Linked DNA regions of Notamacropus eugenii. The protein of the gene in region 2 purifies or fractionates together with the protein of the main gene of each other region. This does not show direct contact. Links are inferred from orthologs where the notes say so. Each region holds a gene or a part of one and is shown on either strand. Other genes may lie near its edges. The genes, in order: COPB2, COPG2, COPE and COPB1.

The links.
Region 1: the proteins of COPG2 (region 2) and COPB2 fractionate together in Homo sapiens (co-fractionation; 4 studies listed by BioGRID and IntAct, with this or other methods). This does not show direct contact. The link is inferred for Notamacropus eugenii from reciprocal best matches to the Homo sapiens genes COPG2 and COPB2.
Region 3: the proteins of COPG2 (region 2) and COPE purify together in Homo sapiens (affinity purification with mass spectrometry; 5 studies listed by BioGRID and IntAct, with this or other methods). This does not show direct contact. The link is inferred for Notamacropus eugenii from reciprocal best matches to the Homo sapiens genes COPG2 and COPE.
Region 4: the proteins of COPG2 (region 2) and COPB1 purify together in Homo sapiens (affinity purification with western blotting; 4 studies listed by BioGRID and IntAct, with this or other methods). This does not show direct contact. The link is inferred for Notamacropus eugenii from reciprocal best matches to the Homo sapiens genes COPG2 and COPB1.

What each region holds. Positions count from the first base shown.
Region 1 is NC_092876.1:327,604,175-327,611,558, reverse strand, and holds the start of COPB2 (coatomer subunit beta'), read right to left. Parts: upstream 3,004-7,384; 5' UTR 2,871-3,003; coding exon 2,868-2,870; intron 1-2,867. UniProt on the Homo sapiens protein: The coatomer is a cytosolic protein complex that binds to dilysine motifs and reversibly associates with Golgi non-clathrin-coated vesicles, which further mediate biosynthetic protein transport from the ER, via the Golgi up to the trans Golgi network.
Region 2 is NC_092874.1:119,742,478-119,749,367, reverse strand, and holds the start of COPG2 (coatomer subunit gamma-2), read right to left. Parts: upstream 3,007-6,890; 5' UTR 3,002-3,006; coding exon 2,875-3,001; intron 2,544-2,874; exon of another isoform or gene 2,529-2,543; coding exon of another isoform or gene 2,435-2,528; intron 2,339-2,434; exon of another isoform or gene 2,216-2,338; coding exon of another isoform or gene 2,116-2,215; exon of another isoform or gene 1,642-2,115; coding exon of another isoform or gene 1,557-1,641; intron 980-1,556; coding exon 927-979; intron 338-926; coding exon 257-337; intron 1-256. UniProt on the Homo sapiens protein: The coatomer is a cytosolic protein complex that binds to dilysine motifs and reversibly associates with Golgi non-clathrin-coated vesicles, which further mediate biosynthetic protein transport from the ER, via the Golgi up to the trans Golgi network.
Region 3 is NC_092875.1:66,442,486-66,450,049, reverse strand, and holds the start of COPE (coatomer subunit epsilon), read right to left. Parts: upstream 3,007-7,564; 5' UTR 2,916-3,006; coding exon 2,784-2,915; intron 1-2,783. Other genes in the region: probable ATP-dependent RNA helicase DDX49, read left to right, coding at 3,240-3,354, 4,235-4,358. UniProt on the Homo sapiens protein: The coatomer is a cytosolic protein complex that binds to dilysine motifs and reversibly associates with Golgi non-clathrin-coated vesicles, which further mediate biosynthetic protein transport from the ER, via the Golgi up to the trans Golgi network.
Region 4 is NC_092877.1:37,925,367-37,932,259, reverse strand, and holds the start of COPB1 (coatomer subunit beta), read left to right. Parts: upstream 1-3,891; 5' UTR 3,892-4,067; intron 4,068-5,480; 5' UTR 5,481-5,539; coding exon 5,540-5,630; intron 5,631-6,893. UniProt on the Homo sapiens protein: The coatomer is a cytosolic protein complex that binds to dilysine motifs and reversibly associates with Golgi non-clathrin-coated vesicles, which further mediate biosynthetic protein transport from the ER, via the Golgi up to the trans Golgi network.

The DNA.
Region 1 (7,384 bases), on a different chromosome or scaffold from region 2:
GTTACAAAATATAGACTATTCCCTTTTTTGAAAAGTTAGAATGACATTATTTGCTCTTTTTCAGTCCTCTACTATCCTAAAAATTCTGAATTAATATTCAATAATCACAATCACCACTATAGCTACCCTGGGATGTAACTTGGAGGAGAGCAAACAGTATGATGAAAAGCTTCGGTCATGCTATTTGAGAAGTGGTTGAAATAACTGATATTTAGCCCAAACAAGAATTAGTGGCGGATAAGATTACTTGGGAGAGGGGGCCAAATGGAAGATGGATTAGCCTTGTTCTTTTTGGCCCAAAATGACAGAATAAAAAGTTCTGATAAGAAGTTACGGAGAGGTAGATATCTGCTTGACATACAGAAAAAAAAAACCTACCAAAAGAGCTATCCCCAAGTAGAATAGGATCGTTTAGGAGACAATGAGTTACTCCTCTCTAGAGAACTTCAAGCAACCTAACATTCCCTTCCTTTCACTTCAAAACATCCACTGCCATACGTTCCTCACTATCTTGGGCTTTCCCTGTTTTCTTCACATACTTTTTCTACCTTCTAGTACTTCTCTGTGCTTTCTTGATTCCATCCACTCCAGCCTCCCTCTGCAATTCCCCCAAGTGGCTCCTTTCCCTCTACCTACAAACATGTTAATTCTCCCCTATTTTAAAAAATGATCTCTTTATGCTGCTGCTCCATTGAGCTACATCCTGGCTTGCTTTTTTTTTAAAGTCTTTTCACTGCCAAATTCCTGAAAAGAACTGTTATCTCTGCCTCTACTTCCTCATCACTCACGAACTCTATACTCCCTCCCTTGTCATTTAACCCAAATTACTCTTCTGAATGTCACCAAACACCTGTGAACTGCCAATGGCCTCTCCTTAGTTTTCAACCTCCTTGATTTCTGCGGCATCTGATGCTACTGACTATACAATTACCCTGGAACTTTGTCCACTTGGGCATTAGTAACACTTGGCTTTCAGTAAGCATCTATTTTTTTCTAGATAACAAAGGAAGATACAAAGATCAGTTAAGACAAAGCCCATGCCCTCATAAAGCTTATAGTCTAATAGGTAAATAAAACACAATTAATGCATTACATAGATGTCTATACAAAATAACATGTCACATGACATCCTGAGGGAAGCTTCATAAAAAAGTGGTATTTAAACATCTCCATAACCAAAAAGGAACAGTCTCTCTGCACTGGTTAGACCACATTTGTATTATTATATTTAGATGCTACATTTTAAGAGGGAAATTGACAAGCTAAAAGGGAGGTAGAAGGACTCATAACCATGCCATAAATGGGATTATTGAAAAAACTGTTCAAGAGAGGAGATTTAGCACAAATTAGCTTCAAATATTTAAAAAACCATCGTGTGAGTGATTTTAGAGAGCAAAACAAAGACCAGTGGGTAAAATTATATAGAATGAGCCCAACCTTACAAAGAAGTTCCTAAAAATCAGATTTCTCTAAAACTGGAGTAGACTGTCTCCTGGAGTACTAAATGCTGTGTACCTAAAGATGCTTAGACATAGGTTGAATGCTGACTTGCCACAGTAGGAGGAGATTCAGGGACAGGACTAGATGACTTGTTACATCCCTTCAAACTCTATGATTCTACCTCTGTTGTTGCTATTCACTGTGTAACTTTGGACAAATCATTTAACCTTTTCTGACCTCCATCCCCTCCTCTTGAAAGATTAATTTTTTCCTAAAATTCTTTCATAACGAAATTATTCTGAGTCCATCAATCTTTGTGATGGGAAAAGGAAAGAAAAAAATAATTCAACCTGGCAGAAAGACTTCTTTACATTTCCTAAGAGGCAAGAAATGTGCACTTTTGAGGAAACCCTGAATATAATAACACACTACCAAATACTTGTAAAGATATTTATGAGAATGAGAATACTCAAGTGACATTAAAAAGACAACTTTTGTTTTTAGAAATATAAGGAATGGATAATAGGCATTTTTATATAGCAAACTTTTTAAAAAATATAGTTGTAAAACACTTTAGTAATGTACACTTCAACTTTTCTAGATTTATAAAATTCTAGTTAAAAGGGTTTGGAGACAATTTTATTAGACTTAATTTGTCCTTTATATACATAAAAACGTTTGACATTCTTTACTTCACTTTATACCTTTTAAGTGCTGTATAATAAGATCAAGTACCTCCAGCTTTGTATCATGACCGTAGAGTTGGAAAATAACGTGAAAAGCATCTAAATGAACGCTTTTAATGTACAACTTTGATGCTAACAATGACTGTCACTTTCATCTCCTGAGAAATGACCCGCCCCGAAAACCAGCCATTACGATCCAGTCTCTAAGTCAGCACAGTCCTGGTTTCTCTGGGTGTCATCTCTAGGAAGAGCAGCAGCAGACTGACAGTGATACCGGGCTTTAAGGGTCTGCAAACCACTGTGCCCAAGTGGCTTCATTTGGTCCTAGGAACAACACCGCGAGGCAGGGGCTACAGGTGTTATCGTTCCACTTCACGTATAAGGACACTGCGTCTCGGAGAGGTCAAAGAGTTCACCCACGAGGGAAAGAAGCCGACACCCCGTTTCTCCCACTTGCAGCCCGCCCCGCCTCCCGCTCGCGGTCCGTCCCCCGCCCCATCCCTCCTTCGGAAATCGGTGGTCCCACAACACCTGGGCCCGTAACTCCTGCACACAGCCGGGTGGGGACCGGGCGGCAGAAGCCCAGGGCTCCCGGGGCCCCTCTTCCCCTCCCCCTCTCCCGTCGTAGGAGGCCCTGAGGAGATCTCCGGAGCTGCCCTGGCCACGGCAACCCCTGCAGGGCCAGCGCCGATCCGCCTCGCGCTTTCGTTTATTTTGAAGCCTGCAAGGCCAAAGTCTCACCATGGCTCCGTCAGCGACGCCGAACTCCCTCGCTCGATGCCGGGTCCCGGGGCCCGCTAGCTCGGGGTTGACGCTGGCGCTGGCAGAACACTGACCAACTGACTGACGTGGAGCTTCCGGGAGGCCGGCTCTCGCGAGATCTGGCGTCTCAGCACGGGAACGCCGGGACTAACCTCGCGAGAGTTTTCGCGGCGCCGGGGCTCGGGGTTCACATTCCTCCTCACCCAGCACACCTCACTTCCGTCCGTTGCCTTGGCAACCCACCCGGAGCCCGGGGGTCTCCCTGAGCCGGATTGCATGCTTATTGGGCCAGGATCCAGAGGTTCCGCGGCAGTGCAGGGAACGTGGGGTCCGGGAGGAGAGACATCCCCGCGGAGCCCCAGGCTGAGGGGAGCCCGCCCCTCCTGAGCAGAGGAGCGAGGGAAGACCGGGAAGAAAACCTTCCTGGTGCCCCGCCAGGCGCCCTTCCTGTTCCTGTCCCTAAGAAAGAAGGCAGCCCGGCCCAGTGGAGCGACCGGGGCTGTGAAGAAGCCCATGAGGCCCAGGCTCAGGGCCCGACTGCCGCTTCCCCGCAGAGGATGTTGAGATGGAGGGGATCTTAGAGATCGCCCGGGCTCCTCCTCCCCACCCTGCCTTTTTACCGATGAGAAAAATCAATGGCCAGAAAGGGCAGAAGCCTTTGCCCTGGGCCACACGACCTCTGCATCGGGAGGGGGCGGGTGGCGCTCGTGAAGAGAAAAGGGGGGTGCGGATCCTGCTTCAGATCCTTGGTGACTTCTGACTTCTCAGCCTTAGCTCATCTGTGTGTAGGAACCGAACTAAGGTGAGGGGAGGGAGAAACTTTACCCACAAGTGTTGGGGAAAATGTACTTTTTTTTTTCTTACTATATCTATGAAGTAAATGTGCCTTTGTAAAACTCTTGGCAACCCAGACGGGTATGTGAAGTGATTATATGGAATTGGGGGGCTACTTACTGGCCCTCTAAAATAGGAGAAAGCAGTCACTGGAGCTTTGGGCTGATGAAGTAGAATGAAAAATAACCCCAAGTTTCACAGGGTACCTAAGACGAAGGGAGAGGGGCAGGGAAGGAGGGGAGGAGTAAACAGCCTAACCCAGAGATAGTGAGGCCAGAGCAGCCTCTTTAATGTGAGATGCTAAGATAATGTATCAGAAGTGCTTTCCATCGAAGTTTTGATTAAAGTTTTGTAACTGAGCTATTGTGATAATTACTATATATTATATGTTATTATTGCATAATATACATTATAATATTATAAATCCGGAACTCCACTAAATCACCTTGCATTCTCATTGTTGGTCTCAGTCTCTGACTCTGTAAAAGATAGGGGGTAGCTCTGACTGTCACTAGCTCTGATATTTATTCTATCAAAGGTTTTTTTGGGGGGAGAAGAGAATGATGTGGGCTGTGGTTTGATAACTATTTTTCCAGGGGCTTTAAAAGTGGGATACAAATTCCTTGTACAAGAAGAGACAGATTTTTAAAAAATATTTTACTTTTTTCCCCAATTACATTCATTTTTCAAAATTTTGAGTTCCAAATTCTCTCCTTCCTCTCCCCTTTCCTTGAGAGAGTAAACAATTTGACATGTTATATATGTGCAGTTATGCAAAACATTTCCATATTAATCATGTGAAAGAAAACAGACAAAAACATGAAAATAAAGTGAAAAATAGTCTGCTTCAATCTGCATTCAGACTCCATCAGTTCTTTCTCTGAAGGGGGTAGCATCTTTCTTCATGAATCCTTTGGAATTGTCTCAGATCCTTGCATTGCCCAGTCATTCACAGCTGGTCATCATACAATAATGCTGTTACTATGTGCAATGTACTGGTTTTGCTCACTTTGCATAAGTTCATGTAGGTCTTTTCAGGTTTTTCTAGAATTACCCTGCTTGTCATTTCTTACAGTACAATAGTATTCCATTACAATCATATACAACAACTTTTTCAGCCATTCCTTGATTGATGGATATCTCCTCAATTTCTAATTCTTTGCTACTATATTTTTGTACAAATAGGTAATCGCCCCTCCCCCCCTCCTTTTAATCTCTGGTTATAGACCTACTATTTATTGGTAATCCTGGATCAAAGGATATGCAGTTTCATAACCTTTTGAAACTAGTTCAAAATTGTTTTCCAGAATTGGTAGATCAGTTCCAACTCCACTAACAGTGCATTAGTATCCCTGTTTTCCCACATCCTGCACAGCATTTATCATTTTCCTTCCTGTTATATTAGCCAATGTGATCGGTGTGAGATGTTTTAGTTTGTATTAAATTGTTTTAATTTTATATTTCTCTAAATAATAGCAATTTAGAGCTTTTTTCATATAAGTATAGATAGCTTTGATTTCTTCTGTTTATACTTTGACCATTTATCAATTGGAGAGTGACTTGGTATATCAATTTTACTCAGTTCTCTATATATTTGAGAAATGAGGCCTTTATCAGAGACACTTGCTGTAAAAAAAAAAAATTCTTCCCAGCTTTCCTTCTGATCTTGATGGCATTTGGTCTTGTTTGTGCCAAAACTTTTTAATTTAATATAATTAAAATTATCCATTGTATAGTAATCCTCTCTGTCTCTTGTTTGGTCATAAATTCTTCACTTCTCCATAGATCAGAGAAGTAAACTATTCCTTGCTCTCCTAATTTGTTTTTGGTATCACACTTTATGTCTAAATCAGGTACCCGTTTTGACCTTTCCGCGGTATACTATGTGAGATATTGGTCTATACCTAGAGTCTTCCATTCTGTTTTCCAGTTTTCCCGGCAATTTTTGTCAAATAGTGCTTTCTTGTCCCAAAAGTTTGGGACACTAGATTACTATGGTCATTTACTACTGTGTGTTACGTATCTAATCCATTCCACTGATGGAAACAGATAAATGTTGGAAATTTGGGGTTTCATAGGAAAGGACAAGTGACTGACAGAGGCAGAGCATAGAATCTTCATCTCTGAATAGCTTTGAGAAGACTCTCCCAGTCTTTGGGAACAAAGGAAGAGCAACGATAATGATCTTTGGGGAGAAAATAGATAACTTGATGGTTTTTAAACATGTAGTATGGTGTAATCAGAAGTGCCCCAGGTCAGGAGCATGGCTGCTGTGACTAGCTGTGCATCTGTCGGCACTTCACTTAACCAATTTCTTTGAACCTCGGTTTTCTCACCTCTAAAATGTAGATAGAATTGTGCACACAGGGTTGTAGGGATCAAATGAGATAAACTTGCATTCATTTGGTAACTGAATTACTAGGTAAATATAAGGTATTACTTGACTGACGACGGTATTGAACTCTTAGTTCATAATCTTTTTTTGGCAATGTCCCTCAGCAATGATCTAAACACCATTGGTAGGTTTATTGTCCCACAGTGCTTCTGCCTGACTTTGTAGAGGATGCTTACTCTGGCCATCATAAATATAACTCATACTTTAAATACTCTCCTAGTTTATAGCTACTTTTAACTAATAAGAGCTTTACAATGTACTAGATATTGAACACAATAAAAAAGGAAAGCTTGTTCTTTCACTGTGGTTGAAATGAACATTTTAACAAGATAGAATGCACACACTTCCATAGATAGAGCATTTATTGATGGTTAAATATGTGCCAGGCACTGTGCTAAGTGTCCCTATATTAATAAAAACAAAAAAAGAGTTGTCCTCAAGGAGCTTGTATTCTAATAGAGAATACAGTACATAAAGAGGGGATAGAAAGGTATAGTACACATTCTGATATGGTATAGAGATAAGAAATGAGATGGAAGCCTGGATCCAGATAAGACAAGGCAAAAACTCAGTCTTGATGGTGCTAGGGGCAGAGCCCAAAGTTCTCATAGAAAAGAGGTGGAGTTGATGGCCCTACCTGAAAGAGAATAGCATGGACACAGTCAAGATACACGTATTTGGGGAAAATGCCTTTATGTTTGGTTCTAGTAGTTTCCCACCTACTCCCTATGACATTTAAAAAGTTCAAGAGACATAATTTCTGGCTAACTAGTCATTTTAATAATAATGCTAACATTTTAATAAAAGAGGTCAGTGGCACTCTAGAATGCCAGACTGTCACTGTGGTGTGCTCCCTCAAGGTTTATGTGACTTTGGAAAAGTGGGTGTTCCCGAGGGTGGCAATCAACTCTGACTGGTTAACAAGTAATAAGAGAAAGAATATTAATGATGAGGGACTGGACCTATGCAAATGAACTTTGATTATGTCATTTACTTCTCAATTACCCCCAGCCTTGAGCAATCTAATGAAAGAATTTATCCCTTCCCCCCCAAACCTGAGCGGAGCACAGTGGGCTTCTCCACCTTACATTAAATTCCTTGTGAGGTTAGGTGGGACCTGACCAATGCTGAGGAAGTTAATTCAGTCTCATTATCAGTAACATCCTTCAAGAGACTGAGCTTTGAAATGAGGACTATAGAAAAAGGGAGAACTCTGTATATCTCCAAATCCTTGGTTATTAATAATCATTTTTCTTATCCTAAAGAT
Region 2 (6,890 bases):
GATATGGGAGAATACCAAAAAGGTACATAATATGGTCTCTGCCCTCAAGGACTTTTCAATCTTGTTATTCAATTAAAATAAACTTTCTGGATTTTAAAAAAGCTTACTTTTAAAAACGACAAATTTTGAAAGAATAAAAAACCATAGGACTTAAGCAGTCAAAGAGATCTTTAAAGTTCATCTAGTCAAACCCTTTCATTCTATGGATTAGGAAAACTGAGCCCCAGAAAGAACTGCTTCCCTAAGTTTCATTTACCTGGTTCAGTAAATAAAGGATCTTGGTCAGAATATGTAGACATCGTCTTGGATTGATAGGAGTCTCATTGAAGATACGAGCCTGGGGGAGCAAAGCAAATACATAGTACCTTTTCCTTCTCAATCACAAATCTCAATAAATTGTCTTCAACAAATTAATGATGTTGTCAAACTCTTTTATCATAAAGTCTAAGTAATATTAGTTAAATGAAGCATTTAGTTTATTATATTAGAAAAATGAACTAGGAAATATGTCTCTATATTATACTATTCCACTCTTTCCCTTCGGTTTAATTTCAGAATTTCATTTTTCAAAATAAGAATCACAATATTAAGGTAACTCAAAAAGCTGGTATGAAATTTAACATTTATAACTTCTGTCAGCAGCTTTATACAAAGTACCTGTTTGACATCTTTCATACCAAAATTTTCATGGCATCACAGCATATTTATGTTCTTCTAACATCCAATGACAAAACATTGTTCTTTTTTTCCTTTAGGCTGCATTATTTTATCTCATTCATTATATGCTTTAATTCAATACTAGGCAAACATTTTTCAGTCATGATAACTACAACATAAACTCTGAATGTCTCCAATGTCTCCTAGAGATGTTCTGATCCCACTCTGGGGAAAACAAACATAAAAGACAATATACTTCTAAGTCATACCTCCTGCAAAACAGCACTCTTCTCCAGATGCTGAAAAGGGTTAGAGCCACTCCCTAAAAAAGAAAACAAAATAGTATTGAGAACTAGCCACAGGCAAATTCATTTACCAACAATTAAGCAACACTGGAAACAAAATTTTAAAAATCGAAACAAATTCAGGAAAACTTTTATAAGAGCCTGAGCATCTGGATACCACAATGGCAGGCATTACTAAGTTGCTGGTAGATGAAATGAAGTGACCTTGGTTCTATGTCTAGCTCTGCTGACATACCTCCCGACTTTGGAACACTTACCAAAAATCTGACTTAAATAAGAATTATATTATGGTGTAAATGGTGGAGTGCCGGGCTTTGAAATAGGAACACAAAAGTTCAGATCCTAGCTGGGATTCTTACTTGTGTGACCTCTCTGTAACTCAGTTTCTATTTCTGTAAAAAGTGTGCGTGGAGGAAGAGGAGGTTGAATTTGATAGCCTCTAATATCCCTTCCATTTTTTAAATGTATGCCCCTATAGCCCTAGGGTAAGGTGGTAGGGGCTGAAAGCCCAAGCTATAAAACAAGTTTCCTGGAACAAATTCTTCTGAGATTTTCTGGGACAAAACTGGGAACTATCAAATAAGTAGGAATTACTAGGTGTAGACTGAAAGCACTTCCTATCCATTGAAGGCATCCAAAAGAAGAGAGTGAGATCCGTGAGCTTCTTGTCGCTATTCATATCTCACTTTCTCATCTTAAAAATGAAGGAGTTGGTCTAGCTGGCAGGGGGTCTTCTCAATGAGACTCATGACAGACTGCACGGGCTTCAAGGTCCCTTCCAACTCCATGGGCCTTTGTGACAAGCATGCATCAAACTGTTGTAGCACTTTGAGCTCTTTAACTAAGTACTCATTTCAGTAACTTTGCAACAAGGAAAACTGAGGGGAAACTTCCCAGAGTCAGGAGGCCCCGCCTCCGCTCCAGCCAAGATGCAGGCCTGAGTTCCCCCCGGGAGTCTAGGTCAAAGGCGCCGTTCTGCCACCAGGTGTTGGAGTCTGCCCCCTTTCAGCTGGGGGCCGGGGTCTCCAGCGCCCTCCACGTCCCCCAAGAGGGAGATCCACCGTGTCCTAGGCCGGCCCTGGCCCACTTGGGGCAGCCCTGATCGTGGGCAACTCCTCTCCACCGACGCCAAGTTACTCCTGACAAGAGACACCTTTGGGTCTGAGGGCAAGCGGGGAGGTTCTAATCCGTCTTCCACGAGAGGGCCCTTCAAATCCAGCCGCGATCCCGTCCCTCCTTCCTAAACCTTCCATTTTCCCACCCTCAGCTTCCCCGGCCCCAAAGCCCGGAGCTGGGCTGGACGGCCCACGAGGGAAGTCGGGGCCCCGGGCGTGTACGAACTCTCGCTTCCCCCCGAGAATGTGAACCAAGGAGCAACGGCCCTAGGTTTCAGAGATCCGGGGGTTCTCACGCTTCTTACCCTCGCCCCCCACCCCCTCCCACGCCGCCCCTTCGCCCCCTCCCCTGCTCACTTCGACCGCCTCCAGCCATGGCCCCGCCTCCTCTCCGCCACCAACCCCCGGGGCCGGAGGGGCAGGGCTGCGAGGGGCAGCGCAGCGGGAGCATGCGCCCGAGGGCCGGCCAGGGGAGGGCTCCCGTGCGCCGGGGCCGAGGGGCGGGGCGGGTGGTGTGGGGCAGGCCAGGCGCGGCGCACGCGGCCGGACCCGGAGGGGGAGAAGGGGGAAGGCAGGGTCTCGAGTTGGGGGAGGGGCCACGCGACGGACTCGCCCTGGTGGAGGAGGAGGGACTCCAGCTCCGAGCCGCTCTCAGCCCCGCGCGCTCCTCCCCCCTTCCCTCCGTCCAGCTCTCAGGGGGAGGAAGACGCGCGGCCCCCGCCCCTCCGCCCCCGCACTACGAGGAGGAAGCGCTGGAAAGTGGGGGTCGGAGGCGTTCCCCAGGTCCCTGCGTGTACCAGACTCTTCGTCCTTCTTGTCGAATTTTTTAATCATCTCCCGCGACAACTGATCCCTAGGCCAACCGGAACCGTCGGAGCCGACACCGCCGAGAGGAACAGGCTCCACCGGAAGCCCGGCCCCCATCCCTCCAGCTGGCTGGGCAGTTCGCCCGTCACTCCAGCAGAAACCCCGCCCCTTTCCCCTGCCGCGCGGTGTCAGCCCCGCCCCGCCCTGCCGGTAGTCACGCCTTCCCCTCCGTGCTAACACTCCCTTCCCTCCGTGCGCACAGATGCACTCGAACACGCGTATAGAGAGCACAAGTGGGTCGATTCTGCACCGACAGCTCCCATTGCAGAGCCGCGGAGTGACAGACACACGAGGTCCTTTGGGCTGGCGCTCCTAGTCACGCGGAGGCCCCGAGTGCGGGCCCGACCGTGGCAGTGGGTGCCGCGCCTCGGGAGCTCGCGTGACTCAGTCAGGAACCGCGGTCGTGTTTATGAACCACTGCGTGGCCCTCCCGTAGCGGAAGGGGCTCTCTCCTGGCAAGGGCACGGTCAGCGTGGGCTTCTCCTCCAGGAGGGTCGCGAGGGTCAGGGGCTCCCAGGTTACCACGGAGATCTTCCGTCTGCTCCTCGCTTCCCTTGCGGCTGCAGGCAAGCAGAGAAAGCCGTGAGAAGGTGGTGCCTCCGGGAGTGGGGCGCTTGGACCGTCCGACCGAGGAGAAGGTCCCTGCACCTCCGGGATGCTGCCCTCCAGCTGCCAGCCCACCTCCCGCCAGAAGTCCTTCCCAGCCCTCCTGATTCTAAGTGCCTCTCTCTGCTCATTCTGTCCGATTTATCCTGTACATAGCTTGCTGTGTCTGTATTTGTGTGCGCGCTGTCCTCCACCCGTTAGGTTGTAAACTTCTTGAGAACAGGGGCTGTTCTTTTGCCTCCCTTTATATCCCCAGCGCTTAGCACATGGAAGGCACTTAATGCTTACTGACTCTGCATTAGGAGGAAGGAGGCACTCTGTATTCCCAAGTCATGAGGCTCATTTCTACCCCCTTCTTTTCCATGATTTGTCAGTCAACATCAGTGAGATATTCTTGAGATCATATTGTCCTCCCCCTTTCTCTGTACGTTCTACTCCTCTGCCCTTAGTCAAAAAACACTGATTAAGAGCCCACTATATGACAGGCATTCTGTACCTGTGTATCCCCAACCATCGCTAGGGATACGAAGAAAAGCAGAAAACAGCCCCTGTTCTCAAAGAGCTTCTTGTCTGATGTGGGAGACAGCTTGCAAATAACTAAGTACATGTGAGATAGAGACAAGATAAATTATTTGGCAGTCTCCGAGGGAAGGCACTAAGATGAAGGACTGGAAGAGGCTTCTTGCAGGAGGTGGGACATTAGCTGAAACTTGAGGGAAGTCAGCTAGGAGGAGGCAGAAGTAAGGAGTGTTTCAGGCATGGGGGACAGCCAAGCTTTGAACCCACTTGGACTGCCCTTCTTTCCCCCTCTGCCTATCTATACGTCTCCACTCAGAACCACAGAGTCTTAAGAATCAGAAAAGATTTACTCCAATGACTGTCTAGTTTTACCCCTACCTGAAACAGAATCCCAAGGAGTCCTTCTCTAGCCTTTGTTTGAAGGCTTCTAGTGAGGGGAAAACTCCCATTCCACTTTTGAGCAGTTTTAATTGTAAAGAAATTTTTCCTTCCATTACTCATAAATCTGCTTTCTATAACTTCAACCCAAGTTCATCTCTCTGAGGCCAAATAGAATTAGATGAATCCTCAATTCTATGACAGCCACTGATTTGTGTGAACATTGTTCTTCATTGAGCAAAGAGGGAAATCTCAAAGGTTTGTTTAGTTTGCCTTTGGAATCTGGAGATTAAAGGAGATTTAGAGGTGAAAGGATTATAGGATCATAGGTTTAGAGCTTGGAAAGGACTTTACAATTCAAGAAGTCCAACTTTCTCATTTTACAGTTCTTGAAACTGAGGCACAAAAAGGTTTAAGTCACTTGCAGGTGGTCACACAGCCAGTAAAGATCTGAGCTGGGATTTGAATCCAAGACTTTCTAACTCCAAGTCCAACGCCATAGCAACTTCACACTGCTAAAAGGACTTTCAGAGGCCATCTTGTCCAACTCCTTTATTTTACAAATGGAGTTAACTGGTCCAAGGTCATACAGGTAGTAGTCATAAAGTTGGGATTTGAACCTGATCTTCTGCTGCTTTGATCCCCATTGTGTATGAACAAGTGACAGGCAAGTTTACTCTGGACATTCATCAAACCTCTTTTTACCTGTTCTCTAAACAAGTTCTAGTGTTTACTTGCATCCAGCCCCCAAAACAATGCTTTAATAGAGAGGGAGGAGAACTTCGACATCTTTCTTCTTACCTGACCTAAAATCTGGAACAAAGGAAAGTTCAGGATACTTTTCCTGCTGCTTCTTTAGGGCATGGAACTTTGAAAACTTGGCTTCACCCTTGAAATCAGCATTGGTGGAAAACCTTAACAGGGAAAATTCATTTAGTGGAGCCAGAGTCAAGGGTCATGATAGAAGGGAATCTGTCAGTTAAAAGTTAATTCCATTGTCTGGGTTTTAGAGAGGAAAGGAGCCTATGATTAATGGCGTTTGAAAGAAAAGAGGTTTATGGAATCTTAGAGGGTGTTACTAGGAGTTGGCCCTATAGGACTTATGAGCACATAAAGGAAGGTGGGAAGGAAAGGGGAATAGAGGGCGGAAGAAAAGAAGGGAAGAAGGAGAAAAGGAAGGGAAGTAGTTAAGGAGGTTGAACAAAAGTAACAAGTATTTATTAAGCAATTATGTTCTAGGGTAAGTGCTAAGTGCTTTATAAATCTCCTTAGATCCCCATAACAATCCTAGAAGGTAGGTACTATTATTATCCCTATTTTTCAGTTGAGGAAACTGAGGCAAACAGGTGAAGTGACTTGTCTAGGGTCACAAAGCTAGTAAGTGTCTGAAGCTGGATCTGAACCCAGGTCTTTCTGACTCCAGGCCCAGCACTCTCCACTACTGTGCTATATGGTATAGCAGTTCCAGAGTCACCTTTCTCTCTAGTTGGCCTCTGTACCAGGCTCCAAATCCAACACAGTGCTCAAACACATGAACAAGGGAGGCTTAGTAAGGGAAAGTGCTGGGGCTTCACCTGTACCACTGTTCCCGCTTAGGTATAGCATCCTCCAATATTGCTACAGGAAAGGGAGTCCTGGGTTCAGTCTTTAATTTCTTCTTCATCAGCGGGAGACCAGCATGAGTTGTGATTTTCTGTTGTTCTTGTGGCTGAAGAAGGGAAAATGATAGTGTTGTGGTTTACGGATGTGTTGTGGAGGAACCATCTCAAAGAATTCAGTCAAAACACCTCTCATCCAAGTATAGGCATTTATTGAGATTGGTGCCTCTCATTAAGTGGGCTAAGTTCCAAGAAGAACTATCAACTTTAGGAAAGCAAGATGGATTTTTATAGGGTAAAGATGCAGTTATGTAACAAAAATTATGAATATTAAAAAGGCAGGAGGAGTTTATTAAGGGATTAGATAATAAGGGAGGGCTCCCAACCTCAGTGGAACTGCACATGCGATTACTCACAATGCTACAGAAAAAAACCCATAAGGGGTTATGTATGTATGATAATGATATTATAATAAACCTCTCTATGTCATAAGTTCATCTAAAGGACAGCTTTTGCTATTTCTGCATAGGTGCCCACTTAGGGAAAGTCCCTTCTATTGTTTTGGGGTCCACATCCAGCTTGGTCATCCTGGTGCTGCTGCTTTCTGATTGGCTGACTACTGTGGTCCTGTCTGAGACTTGATGGATGCGGTTGTGGTTGAGTGCATGGATACACCTGCTGTTTCTGTGGGAAATATGAGGAGTGGGTCTGGGGGCAGTGGCTGGTGTCCTTTCACATGGACACGCCTGCTGTTCTGTGAGAAGAGGGAGTTCATGGACTCTTCTGTTGTTCTAGTGAGCAGTGATGCATATATGAAGAAGATAGGAGTACTGAGTGTGAGTGGG
Region 3 (7,564 bases), on a different chromosome or scaffold from region 2:
AGCCAGCACGGCTTTGATTAACGTGGGATTAATCCCACTTTCCTTTCTGACAGGGTCTCTAGTGAATAAGGGAAAGGCAACGGATAGAGTTTATGCAGATTTTAGCAAAGCTTTTGATAAAATTTCTCTTACCACTTTTGTGGAAAAGCTATGCATTGAAAATAACACATTAAATGGATTCAGCAGGGGCTGCCAGTGATTCTGCGTCAGCACGGCAGAAGGAGCCCTGAGTCTTATCAATGATCAATGGTGTGGATAAATGACTAAGTGGCAGGTTCATCCAGTCTGCAAATGACACCCAGCTTGGAAGAAGCTGGCACTTCCGATGACAAGTAGGATTCAAAAGGATTTCAACAGGCTGGAGCACTGAGCTGAATCTAATAAGATTCACTGAAACAAATGGGAAACCTGCATGTGGGCACAAAAATTCAGCTTCATGAACATAAGATGGGGAAGCACAGAGAAAAAGCAGCTGATCTGAAAAAGATCTGGGTGTTTAAGTGGATCACTAGCTCTACAGGAGCTAGCAGTGTGCTGTGGAAGCCAAAAGAAGCCAGGATAATCTGGGCTGCCTTAAGAGGGGCATAGTTTTGATCTCATCAGACTTCATCTGGAGTACTATATCCAATTAGGGGGCAACCAGGATGGTGTAGAGCCTTGGATCCATGTCACGGACTCTGAGGACATCATAGGGATGTCCCACAGTCAGTCTTAACTGAGATTCCACAGGGAAGTCTGCAGAGAGAAGGAACTAGGGCATGTTTAGCCCAAAGAAGAGAAGATTCAGATCATTAAGTACATAAAAGCCTGTCACGTGAAGGCAGGACGAGCGTTGTTCTAGCTGGCATCAGAGGGTAGAACTAGGAGCAATGGGCTGGAATTCTGGAGAAGCAAATTTGGGACTGAGGTCAGAAAAACATTCTCACAATGACAGCTCTCAGAAAGCAGAATGGACTGCCTGGAGCAGGGGAGGATTCCCCCTCTACTTGGAGGCTGGATCACTGCCTCTCAGGCATGTCATTGGGGAGATTCCATTCATATATAGGTTGGACAATGAGGCCTTTTCCAACTCTCAAGTTCCATGACTTCTATAGGATTTCCTACAGAAAAAGTGGATGAAGCCTCTATTTCTTCATTCAACTCAGAATGTAAGGCACCATCCTAGAGATAAAAAGTCAAAAATGAAATAGTCTTTGACCTCCCAGAACTTATTCTCAAAGATGAGGATAATGTTTCTGCTACCTACCTCACAGGGCTCCTACGAGAATCAAATCAAAATGTATGTGAAGGTTCTTTCCTTCCCCCTTTTTTAAACTGTAGAGTGTTCTGAACATGTAAATCATTACCTTTGCTATTGGGCTCCTTTGAAACTATTTCTTTCTACCTGCCACCTTTGGGAAGAATTTGGTAAATGTTCAAATGACAAACCTGTAGAAAATCCTAAATTGAAAACAGGGCTGGGGACCTGATACTTACAAGTTTGCCTTATGAAGATACCTTACTGGAGCCTGGATTTTGGAGGGCACCAAGCTTAGGTTTTCCCAAAAACTAGTCCAAGGCAACTTTTTCTTAATCATCTGTAAAACTTACCATTTAATGGATAAAAATGACCACTTCCTACCTGACACCCCTCTCATGGTAGGCTCCACCCAGTTGAGATCAAAGAGCTGTCCAAGGTAGACAATTTAGCTATTTAAAGGTCCCGTTTACTTTGGGTAGGGAAATACATAGTTGCCCTTCCACCTCCCCTCTCAGGAGGAGAGAAAGCCTTGAGTGGGGGGAAGACAGAAAACTCCAAGGTTCAGCCTTGGACCTAGAGGTCTCTTTCAGCAAGTTTACACTCATCTAAGTTTGGAGCCCTACCAGAAAATTTCTACTCTGTCTTTTGACCACACCTCCCATCCTAGCTACTGAGGCAGCCCACTCAGGTTCTTTAACAGTCCCAGATGAGGTTAATGAAGCTTGACTATCTATAGCTAGTCTTAACCAGGCTTCCCTAGAGAGGCTTGCGGAAAGACCATTAACTGGGAGGAGGGACGGCTTCTTAGCAATGAGAACCGTCCAAGGGTGGAGTTGTTTTCCTCGGCGGGTAGTGAGGTGCCCATCACTAGAGATCTCCCTGTGCAGGCCAGATGTCCCCTTGTTAAATAAAATTTGGGGGCGGGAGGAGATTCTTGACCATTCAGGTACAAGCGGGGCTGGACAATCTCTCGAGGTCTCCTTTACCTAGAGCACTTCGTCTCTGCCTTTTCTTGGCCCGGGTGAACATTTCAAAGTTTTAGTGTGTTGCCCCCGCCCCCCAGAAGAAGGCTGGATTTGGAGTCCGGGGTCCTGGCTGTGAATCTCCGTTTCCTATTTACTACCTGCTGACCTCGCGCAAATCGTTAGCGGCTCTGAAGCCTCAGTTTCTTCCACCTGTAAAACGAAGGGGTTGGCCTGGGCACCTAGGACCCTGTCTGCAGGTCCCATCGTCGTGGGTCTCCCCAGGGCTCAGCACGTAGGAGGCGCTACATGAACATTCGCTGAATTGAAGGAATTCGCTGTATCGGCCGTCCGCGCCCTCTGGGCCTCAGTTTGCCCGTCGGCAAAATGGGGCGCGAGGATTTGGACGAGATCCCTCCTAAAGGGCCCTGGCGGCTGGGCTGGGCTAGGCTAGGCTGGGCTAGGCTAGGAATCCCCGGGCCCGGCCCTGACCACGGTCTAGGCCGGGGCCGAGGAAGGAGGAAGGCGCCGCGGACCCCGGACCTCCCGCCCTGCCCTCCGTCCCGGCCCGCTGCACGCACCTTGACGCGCTGCGCCTCGTTGATGCACTGCTGGTAGCTGCCGATGTAGAAGGCGTTCTTCACGTCGAACAGCTCGTCCACTTCCCCTGGGCCGCCGGGGGCCGGGCCGGTACCGGGAGCCGGAGGGGCCATCTTGTTACCGACACGTCGACAGAGACGAGGAGGAAGTGACGCAAGCCGGCGCCCGCACGGCCCTCTGGGAATCGTAGTTCTGGCCTTGAGCGGAACTAGAAGGGGCGGGGCTGGGGAGGGGGGAGGAAGGAGGGAGGCGTGTCTGGGCGGGGACGTGGTGACGCTCCGGAACTGCGGCAGGACCGGCGCGCGGGGAGCTCTTCGGGGGCCGCTGTGGTGCTGGGGTGCAGCAGGCGTGGGTACCTGTGGGAGAGGAGCAGGAGGAGGAGAAGGAGCAGGAGCAGCAGGGGAGGACCAGCCCGCCGCCGCGGAGCCGGGGGAGCCATGGCCGCGTTCGCGGAGCTGGGGCTGGCGTCGTGGCTCGTGGCGCAGTGTAAACAGCTGGGCCTGAAGCGTCCCACGCCGGTGCAGCAGAACTGCATCCCCGCCATCCTGGAGGGTGAGCTGCCCCCCCCCGCCCCCACCGTGGCGATCGATGAGAAGACCCCGCCTCCACGCCCCACTCCCAGCGAATCTGCCTCTGAGCAAGTCGTTTTCCTCCCCTGCCTCAGTTTCCCCATCTGTAAAACGTCGATTCATAACAGCGCTTACTCTCGGGGTTGTTGGATGGATAAAATGAGACTACAGGGCGCTAGAATTGTTACCTCTTACCATCCTCCTCGCTTCCTTTCTCTCGGCTCTCCCTTCTTCCATCCCCTCTCCTCCTACCTCCCTTTCATTCCCCAGTTTCTTCCACCTCCAGCGTGCGTCAGCTTCCGTGCTCTTTCTCTGCCATCTCCCCTGCTCCCTGTAATAATAATCTGACGTTTATATAGCGCTTCCCCCGGTGATTTCATTTAAACCCTCAGTTCTCCAGCCTCCCCCGCCCATTTACCTTCCTCCTTCCCTGCTGCCTCCTTTGCCCCCCCCACAGTTCTTGCCCTTTATCCTTCTAGGTACCCTGTGGATTCTTCCTTGTGCCGAGTGCTTTCCCTCCTTTTGCTCTAGAAAGCGTCTCTTTCCCACCTCCTGATTCCTTCCCCTCTTCCCTCATGGGCTTTAGGTTTCTCCAGGCCTCTTTTATCCGAGGCAGCAGCTGGTCCTGCAAAGAGTCCTGGAGCGACAATCAGGAGACCCACCTGGCTTCTGTCCTGTGGGATGTCTGCCTGCGCTGCAGACTTCCTGGGGTGCCCTGGAAAAGTTATTTCCCCTCTGGAAGGTGGGGCGAATAACACTTGCACTACCTCACAGGGACAAAATTAGAAAAAGTATTTAAAAATCACTTGGTAAAGTGCCCTGTGTGCAAAAGGTCACAATTATTGTTGTTTTTGTTGTCTTAGGTCGAGACTGCATGGCATGTGCAAAGACTGGCAGCGGCAAGACTGCTGCCTTTGTGCTGCCAATTCTGCAGAAGTTGTCTGAAGACCCGTATGGCATTTTCTGTCTTGTGCTAACGCCCACCAGGTATGGCCATGTTCACCTTTCCAGTGAGGTAACATTTACTGTAAATTAAAATCTGTTACTCTTTTTCCATACGTCCACTGTGAGTATTGTAACAAAGGGTATCATGCACGATGGGGAAAAAGCCTTGGAGAAATGGGATCCAGATCTAGATCTAGCACCTTTTAGCTGTCTGAGGTCAGACAAGACTACAGTTGTTCAGTCATTTCAGGTGTATCTGACTCTCCATGACCTCATTGGGGTTTTCTTGACAAAGGTGCTGGAGTGGTTTGCCACTTCCTTCTCCAGCTCATTTTACAGAGGAGGAAACTGAAACAAACAAGGTTAAGTGACTTGCTCAGGATCATACAACCAGTAACTGTGTTGGAGGCTAGATTTGAATTCAGATCCTCCTGACTCCATGCCCAGTGCTCTATACCCACTGTACCCCTAGCTGCCCTGCAATAGAGCTATACAATGCAGCAAATATTTGCACTGTTCTAGGACTGGAGGAGATGCAGTATTAGATTATCTCTGCTCTAATGTCTTCCCCCAATTGATCATCTCTGCTTTATACAGTCTGTATTCTGTTTGTACATCGTTGTGGGCATGTTGCCTCCCCCATGAGACTGCGCTCCCTGAGGGCAGGAACGGTTTTTTGTCTTTCTTTGTATCTCTTGTGCCTGGCACAGAGTAGGCACTTAATAAATGCTTATCGACTTACTGGATTTTATATTCTAGCTAGGGGAGGAGACATGTGCACAGATAACTATAACACACAGTATATATGACTGGGCTGTATGAGTTCTGATGGGTGTAAGGTTGTTAACAATTGAGTAGAGTGGCTATCAGGAACAGTTTCCTGGAGGATGTTGTATTTGAGGTGAGCTTTAAAGGATGGGTAAGAAATTAGCAGACAAAGGGAGAACAGGCATAGGGATAGGAAGCAACTGAAGTAAAGACAGGGAGGGTTGAAACTGTGATGTGTGTTTGGAGGGCAAAGAATTGTTCATTTTGGCTCTGGCAGAGGTTTCATTGAGGGGAGTAAATTGAGATAGGACTAGAGAGGGTGGTAGGTGCCAGATTAAGGAAGGCAGCCTCCTTCATCTGCTCTCTGCTTTACTCAGACTGCCGTGTTGGCTGTTCCTTAAACCCCTCTGTACTTTTACACAAGCAGTTCTTCATTTCTGGAACATACTCCCTCTCTCCCCTTTCTCCTCACAGAATCCCTAGACATAGCTCAGACATCACTTCTGAAACAAGGGCTTTCTTTTCCCTCCATTATTAGAACTCTCTCTCTTGATGGAACTTAGTGTTACGTTATGTATTAATTAGTTAATAGATATTTCTTAAATAAATGGGGCAGCTAGGTGGCTCAGTAGATAGAGTGCCAGGCCTGGAGTCAGTAAGACTCATCTTCCCAAGTTCAAATCCAGTCTCAGACACCTACTAGCTGTGTGACCCTGAGCAAGTCACTTAAACTATTAAAATGAGCTGGAGAAGGAAATGGCAAACTACTCTACTATCTTTGCCAAGAAAATTCCAAATGGGGTCACAGAGAGTCGGACACAGCTGAAAAGCCAACTAAACATTAAGTGTCTACTGTGTGCCAAGCACTGTTCTAGGGATAAAAAAATACAGTGGTTAAAATAAGCTCTGCTTCATAAAGAGCTAAGGTAATGCAGAATATAAAGAAGATAGATGTAGACTTATTCTTTACAAGGCAGTTTGCCAGGGAGGCTTCTGTCAGTTGTGTAGGGTAGGAAAGGCTTCATGTAGAAGGTGGCACTTGAACTGTCTTGATGCAAGAGAGGACATCTCTGAAGTGAAGATGTAGGGGATTGCGTTTCAGGCACAGGCGACAGGACATTGAGTTTCATGTGTAAGCAACAGAAAAGCGGTGTGGCTGCTGTAGAGTTTGGGAGGGAGAGTCACACCTGGTGAGGATGGAAAGACTAGGGCAAGATTGTGAAGGGCGTAAAAAGTGACTTTAAAGAAGGCGTTTATTTTATTCCAAAAGCATAGGAAGCTATTGTAGTTGATTGAGAGGAGGAGGGAGATGTGGTCAGATATGCACTTAGCCAGTGTGTAGCATGGATTAAAATGAGGAGAGGCTTGAGGCAGGGAGACCAGTTAGCAGACCATTAGTTTTTAGGCAATAACACAGGCATGAGGTGAGGAGGGCCTGAATGAAGGTCGTAGCTGTGCGAGTAGAGAGGAGAGGAACATTGTGGAGGCAGACACAGAAGATTTGGCAACTAATTGGATCTGTGAGGTCAGGGAGAATGAGTAGTCAGAGAAAGCACTGAGATTATGAACCTAGAAGACAGGAAGAATGATGGTGCCTTTGACAGAAATGGGAAAGCTTTGGAGGGGAAATAGGAGTCTTGTTTTGGACATGTTGTGTTTGAGATGTCTTTACGATGTCCAGGCTGAAATAGGCAGGTGGTGATACAAAACTGAAGCATGGAGTGACAGGTGAACCCATGAGAGTTGAAGCCACCAAGGGAGGAGGCAGACAAGCATTTGTAAGTGCCTACAGTGTGCCAGGCTTTGTGCTGAGTGCTTTACAGATGTCTCCCTGGGAGGTAGGGGCTATTATCATCCCCATTTTATGATTAAGAAAACTGAAGTAAGCAGAGGTTAAATGACTTATCCAGGGACACACTGCTATTAGACATATGAGACTGACTTGAACTCACTCTTACTGATTCTAGGCCCGGCATCACCTAGCTACTGAGAGTAGGAATGGGCCTAAGCCAGATTCAAATCCCACTTCTCATGTTCATGACCATTCATGACCTTGGGTAAGTTTTGTAGCCTTCCTCATCTGCCAATGGAGGGGGTTGGACTGGATAGCTCCTGAGGTCCCTTTCAGCTTTAAATCTGTTTTCCTGTTATGGAATTTTAGGGAACTCTTATAGTTAGAGGGTGTGATATGGATGAGGAGCCCCCTAAGGAGACAGAGGAATGATTAACAGGTGTGAGGAAAACCAGGAGGGAATATCCAGGAGAAAAGGGAGGTCATGTTAGATACAGCAGATAGTTTGAGAAGAATGAGGACTGCAAACATCGAATTTGGCAAGTAAGAGGCCCATTGGTAACTTTGGAGAGATCATTTGTGTGATGGTATTTAATGTATATTTACTTGTGCATTGGTATCAGTCTATCAACAAACATTGAATAAACCCTTTCTGTATGTTCTAGGCATAGAGGTAAGAAAGACAAAA
Region 4 (6,893 bases), on a different chromosome or scaffold from region 2:
TGATTTTAATTTTCTTGAAATTTGCTGAACTAAAAGGGAAAAAGAATATATCATCACCTTCATTCTCAGCCCTCAAATAAGGACGACAGGGCAGTGAAGCTGGAAATCTCTTGACCAGCTGACAGGTGTAGTTTGGAATAGAGGGTCTGGGGTGGGAGGAAACACCCCAATTATCTGGGACCCATTCCTTTAAAAATTGGCATTTTTTCTAAAGGAAATAGCCATCATTCTAGTGAACATCATGGAAAAGTAGAATATGGCACATGAGCTGTGAAGGAAATTAGGTTGTCTGAGAGGCAGAGGTAAGGTTGGGAACATTTAACAATCCTGGGGAACAGATTCTGCCATTCCTCAGTCCATGGATATTTGGGTAGTTAAGAGTTTTTCAATATTATAAATAACAGTACTACAAATTTTTTGTACTCTTGGGTCTTTTCCCTTGTCATTAACTTCCTTAGAGTATGTTCCCACCAGTGAGATCACTAGGTGAAAGGATATAATCTCTAGTTTCTGTTCTTAAACTTGTGACCCACCCCTTATCACCACTGTGCGAAGTTAAACTCATTTTAATTTAGACATAATAAAACACTAGTAAGAAAGTCAGTCTTGTAAAAAAAAAAAACCATATGGCCCAAAGACCAGTACCAAAGACGGGGATTATTTGCTAGTTTGCCTATAATAATCACTGACGTCTAAGTAGTTTTATAGTTTAAAAAGGATTTTGCTTACAACAACCTTAGGAGGTGGGCGGTACAGGTTTTGAGAGTCCTATTTTTGAAATGAAGAAACAGGTTTTAGAGAAGTGAAGTCAAGCCAGCGAGTGTCAGGTGAGTAATAGCACCACTCCCATCTCCCCTCAGACTAATGGCAAACATCCCAAGACCCTGAACTTAGGAGCCTTGGGAATAGCTAGCTATGCTTCCAGCCCAGTGCCCTCAGCTATTTTCCTGGGAAACAGCTCCTGTGGAGAACGGGTCAACCATCCCCACCTTCCGCCAGCCTAGCTGAAGCAGCAAGGGCCCTTGAGGGAGAGATAGGCAGCAAACCACCACCCTGATCACCATCTCCCCTCAGGCCTCAAGGAAACAGCCCAGAATTCTGAGACCAAGAGCCTTGGGATCAACAATTCCCTCAGCCATTGGCCCCTATGAGATGCAGCCTGGTCATTGTTCCTCCTATGGTCACAGCTCCTGCCTTACCGTGTGTTGCTAGCTAGCTGCGTGTTGCTAAGTGAATTGACCTTTCTGGATCTTAGTTTTCCTCATCTATAAAATCTATAAAATGGGGATAATAATATCACCTCCCTTACAGATTATGAAGATGAAGTGACATAAAGCACTTTGGAAACCTATGTAATCTATGCAGCACTGCGTTCATTATTATTATTATTATTTATATGTAACATATTGACTAGCATGGTGGGAAGATTTGAAACTGACATTTAAGAATTGGTTGAAAGTACTGGGCTAATTTAGCCTGAAGAAAAGATTTAATAGGATTTATCATAGCTGCTCATCAATACTGTCTGAAGTTATTTTGCCATGTGTTATAGGGAATGGATTTAGGGGTTTTTTGACCCCAGAGGGCAGAATCAAAAACAATTGTTGGAAGCTATCGAAGCAAGTATTTAAATAAATACTTCCTAACAAAGCTATGCCGAAGGGAAAGGGACTACCTTGAGACATGATCTTCCTTGAAGGTCTTCAAGCAGAGGTTGAATGACCATTTCTCAGAGATCTTAGGTCTTAGAGTTGGAAGGAACCTTGGAAATATACCTTGGAAATGACTCCAACTGCCTTGTGAAAGGAGGGCAACAAGGTGGCACAGTGGAAGGTGCACCAGGCCTCAAGTCAGAAAGACCTGAGTTCAAATCCAGCCTCAGACACTTACTGTGTGACCTTGGGCAAGTCACATAACCCTGTTTGCCTGAGATTCCTCATCTGTAAAAACAGCTGGAGAAAGAAATGACAAACCACTCTAGCATCTCTGCCAAGAAAACCCCAAATGGGGTCAGGGAGAGTGAGACATGACTGAATAACAACAATGATAGGGGAAAAAGTATGAAAACTTCCAGAATTGGAACAAATTTTGAGTGTTTTCTTTAAAATCTCAAATGAGTAGACTTGGAGGATACGATAGAATAGGTAATAAGTACCTGTTTGATAATAAGATGACTAGAAAGGGCTGATACCTTGTGGGAAACAATAAGTTTTGTTTCCACAAGCTTTGGGTGATCAGGATTGTGACCTAGCACGGTTAGGTCAGAGGTCAGAAACTTGTGCACAGGCTTGACGAGCTGTTTGTGGCAATGGACAGTGTCAAGGGACATCCAAAATTTGGAACAGTATAAGAAGTTTCCATTATTCTGAATGTATTGTAGTCTTCCTATAACCCTACATCCAGCCTCACTACTCCAGAGCTATCTGAATCCAGGAACCAGATATTCATCAAGATGACTGGAGATGACCCAGGATGAGGCAACTGGGGTTAAGTGACTTGCCCAAGGTCATACAGCTAGTGAGTGTCAAGTGTCTGAGGTGAGATTTGAACTCAGGTACTCCTGACTCCTGCTGTATCCATTGCACCACCTAGCTGCCCCTAGGAGAGAAAAGATAAAACTCTTGGGAAAGGCCTTATGTAGTAGAGTGCCAAGGAAGAAAGGGATGCTAGGCACCTTCCAAGAGACTGCCTGGGAGGGCACAAAAGCTTCTCAAATTATTCTGATAGTTTCACATCTGCCAAGGGAATAAAACCTTTGCCTGAAAGCATTAATCCAGTGTGATCAATCACTGGCAATTCTCACACAGGGTCAGCAAGTCTGATGGCAACAGAAATATACTCCATGCTGCTAATTCTGTCCTGGGGAGGACGGTGTTGGGTGCTGAGAAGCTGTAGTAATAGGAGAAGGGAGGGCAGCACGTATCAGGCCAGGTGAGCCCTCAATACCACCAGCAGTCCTGGAGAGACTCATGGAGCCATGACTAGGGAATGCTTACCAGAGATAGAGAAAAGCAAGATCTGACCAAGTGGTGAGGCTGTCTCTAGCATATACTAAGAATTTTATGAAAATTCTTTGAGTTTTCTACTAAAGCAGGAAAATTCCAGCTATCATGAACCTTCTTGCAACAGCTACTGACAGGGTACCACTGACACAGTAAGGCGCTATATAAATGTTAGTAATTACTATTATCCCTATTATTTCACTCAACCACTGTGCAGAGCCTCCAGGACAGGGACCATCTTTGCCTGTTACTGTATCCCCAGTGCTTAGCTTAATGCCTGGCACATAGTAGGTGCTTAGTAAATGTTTAGGAAGTGACTGATTGATTGCTAAGGGCAGAGGGTACAGATATGAAAAACGAAACATTCTCTGCCTTTGAAAGAGCTTACTGTTACACATCCAGTAGCAGAGAAGAATCTGACAAGATATAAACAGGAAATATAAGGCTTGTAGTTCTGTTGTGTGCCACTCTCCCTGACCCCCTTTGGAGTTTTCTTGGCAGAGACACTGGAGTGCTTTGCCATCTCCTTCTCCAACTGAAGAGGACCCTGAGGCAAGCAGGGTTACATGACTTGCCCAGGGTCACACAGCTAGCTGTACTGACTCCAGGGGCAGCGGTCTGCGCCCTGTGCCGCCCAACGACACGATACATTGTGTCAATTATATGCTGTATGTTGCATTACGTTACATTATCGTTACTCTTGCTATTCTCAGCTCCGCTCCAGGTCTCTCCGGGGCCCGGAGCAGGGCTACGCCGCCAGGATCCCAGGGACAGAGGCGCGCTGAGCCTAGGGATGCGTAGCCAGCCTCGGCACCGCGCAGCCGCCCAGCAGGGGGCGGGGATGGGGCGGGGGCCGAGGACGTAGGAGGCGGGCCTAGAATGTGGGGGCGGGGCCTAGGACGTGGGAGGCGAAGCTGAGCGGCGGGAGGAGGCGTGTCCTCTCCGGGCCGCCGTAGACACTAGGTGGCTTCGGTCTTCATCCCTTCCACGTCAGCCCGGGACTCTGAGGAGCCGGAGCCGCCGCTGCCGTTGCTGCCGCCGTCACCGCCCCGGGCCGGGTAGCGGGTAGGAGTCGAGGCTAGGCCCGAGTGGGGGCCGCGCCGCTCCGCTGGGAAGGGGCGGGAGGGCGGCCCTCGGCGGGGTCGCGTCCCTGGGCCTGCTCGGCCCTGTCCTCGGAGCCCTCCCCCCAGGCCGGGCAGGGGGCGGGAGTGGGGGAGGGGGGACGCCTGTCGGGCCTCCGACCCCCGACCCTGGGGGTGCTGACACAGCCCGGGAAGCCGGGGCTTGACCTGTAGCCCTTCCTGCCTGGGCCGGAGCCGCCCCACCCAGCCCCCCCTCCCCCGTTCCACCTTGGCTTGCCCGTTCCCCACGGCCATCTCCTGACCCCGGGCTTTTCCCCCGCCCGTCCCCGCCGCCCGGAATGCTCTCCCTTCCCTTCTGTGCCCCCGGCTCCCCTCGAGGGGAGGCTTTGCAGGGCAGCTCTTCCTGGCGCTCCCTGGCATTCCCCTGGATGGTGTTTGCAGGCAGCGTGCCCTAGACTGGCAGCTCCTGGAGGAGCTTTTATATCCCCAGCGCCCGGCATACCACAGGCGCCTAATAAATGCGCGTTGATCGACTGTCCCTGTCATCCCTATAATGATGTCCCATCATCACAAAGATATCCTTTGGCCCTTTAGCTCTTAGAAATCTCCCCAAAACCACCCTGAAGTGGGTAAAGAAAAAGGGGGGATAGGCAGAAGAAAAATTGCCCCCATTTTACCTTGGAAAGGAAATGTGAGGGACCTGGGGTCTCCCAGCTTGTAAGGAAGGAAATGCAGGTGTCTCCCAAACCCCCTCAGTGGCCTGGATCCTGATGGACTCTGCAGGATGGGGGGGCAGGGTCTGGCCTTGTCCCCAGCTGCTGGGCACCTCTCTGCAGCCTAATCTGAGGGCTGCCAGTCTCGAAGGCTAGACTGGGCGGAAACTTGTTTTGTACAAGGGATGCCTGGCGCACGTTTAGGTGACCCTGTATTCATTGCAATGAAATAACTGCCTTGGAATCTTAGACTACAATTATTTTTAAAAAATGGAGACTGCCTCCCCACCATGCCCAGGCTGGGAGGGCATTGGCTGCACACAGGCTAGTCCTGGCCTGGATCAGCCCAGAGGCTTTGATTTTGCTACTTTTCCAACTTGGGTCACTTTGTCCTCTCTTTAGGCAGCCAGGTGGCTCTTCCCCCTCCCTCCCGAAGGCTCCCATATTGGTACTGATGCCCAATTGACTTTAGTGAGCTAAACATTTCCCAACTCAAGCAGTACAGCATCTTCAGCTTCCCCAGTCATAAGATTCACAGACATGCGATGCTATGCCAGGCCAATCTTAAGATTGTTTTAAAGTTATTAAGCAGACCTGAGTGTATTTTCGTTGCCCATGTTAGAATTATGTTTGTTGACTTATCGAAACTTTTAATAAGTAATGATATCTTGTACTTATTCTAGAATTTCTGATACCTGTCATCAAAAATACTTGCACTGTGGAGTACCCATAACCAAACACCATGACTGCTGCAGAAAATGTATGCTATACGTTAATTAACGTACCAATGGATTCAGAACCACCATCAGAAATTATCTTAAAAAATGACCTTGGTAAGTGAAGGATGGGAAACCTTGACATGAACATATTTGTTTATGGAGGTAATTTATAATTAGAAACATAGATTTTTGTTTGATTTCAATACACGAGATCCATGGTTTTATCTTTGTGTGGCCCGCCATTATCAGCATAGCTCACAATCCTACTTAAGGTTTATTTCGTGTACCATCTTCATGAGTTGTGGGACAAAGTTTGTTACACTTTGGCTAATTTTCTGGGAATGTGTTTTTCTGAACCTTGCTAAGCTGGTTTTCCAGTGATAAAAAGCAGTTTTTCAGAACTTTTCTCCTTGGTAAGCCAGAGCTTGAACCTTGTTGACACAGCCTTTGTGAATCTATGGTCATCATCACAACATGAAGAGGCATAAAAGAAAGGTTAATGTAGGGGATTTTAATCCAGAGTTTTTATATGAAGAAAACCGTGTATAAATAGGTTAGTAAAAGTGCTTCTGAATATTCTGTGATTATCTGTCACTAAAAATGAAAACCTCTTGTGCTAAGACTTTGCATGTATTATTCTTTGTTTAAATTTCCAGCACCTACATGGTACATTGCATATATCAGCACTCACCAAATATTTTTTAAATTGGATTGAAATTTGAAAGTAGGACGTGGTCTGAATAATGCAAAGAGAACATAAGAGATGGGCTGTGCGATGAGACATTTGCAAGGTGCTTTGCACAGTGCCTGGCACAGAGTAGGAGCTATGTGAATGCTTGTTCCCTTTCTCCTCCCAAAAAACACAACCTTGATTTTTAAAGGGCTTCTCTTCTTATTAAGAAGTGCTGGGTAATTGATGGTGTGTGTACAAGGTTGAAACTGTCTTGGTCTCTTTGTGAGACCCCTGTAGGGTCTTCTTATATTTCTTTAGGTAAACCAAAGGAGATGGACTTCTCACCTAAGATCCAAAGATTTAGGGCTAGAAGGAAAGGTAGCAGTAACAATAATTATAACAGTAAGTGGCATTACGCAGCAATTGACAGAGAGAGAGAGAGTGTGTGTGTGTGTGTGTGTGTGTGTGTGTGTATGTGAGTGTGTGTGTGTGTGTGAGGGGGTGTCCGTGGGTGTAGGTGTGTGTGTGGGTGTGAGGGGGTATCCATGGGTGTGTGAGTGTGTATGTGTGAGAGTGTGTGAGGGGGTGTCCATGTGTGAGTGTGTGTGTGTGTGTGTGATTTGATCCCCAGTGAAACATTGTTAGATGGGCAGCTGATAGGTATTATTATCCCTTCCTATAAATAAATAAACTAAGACTTAGGT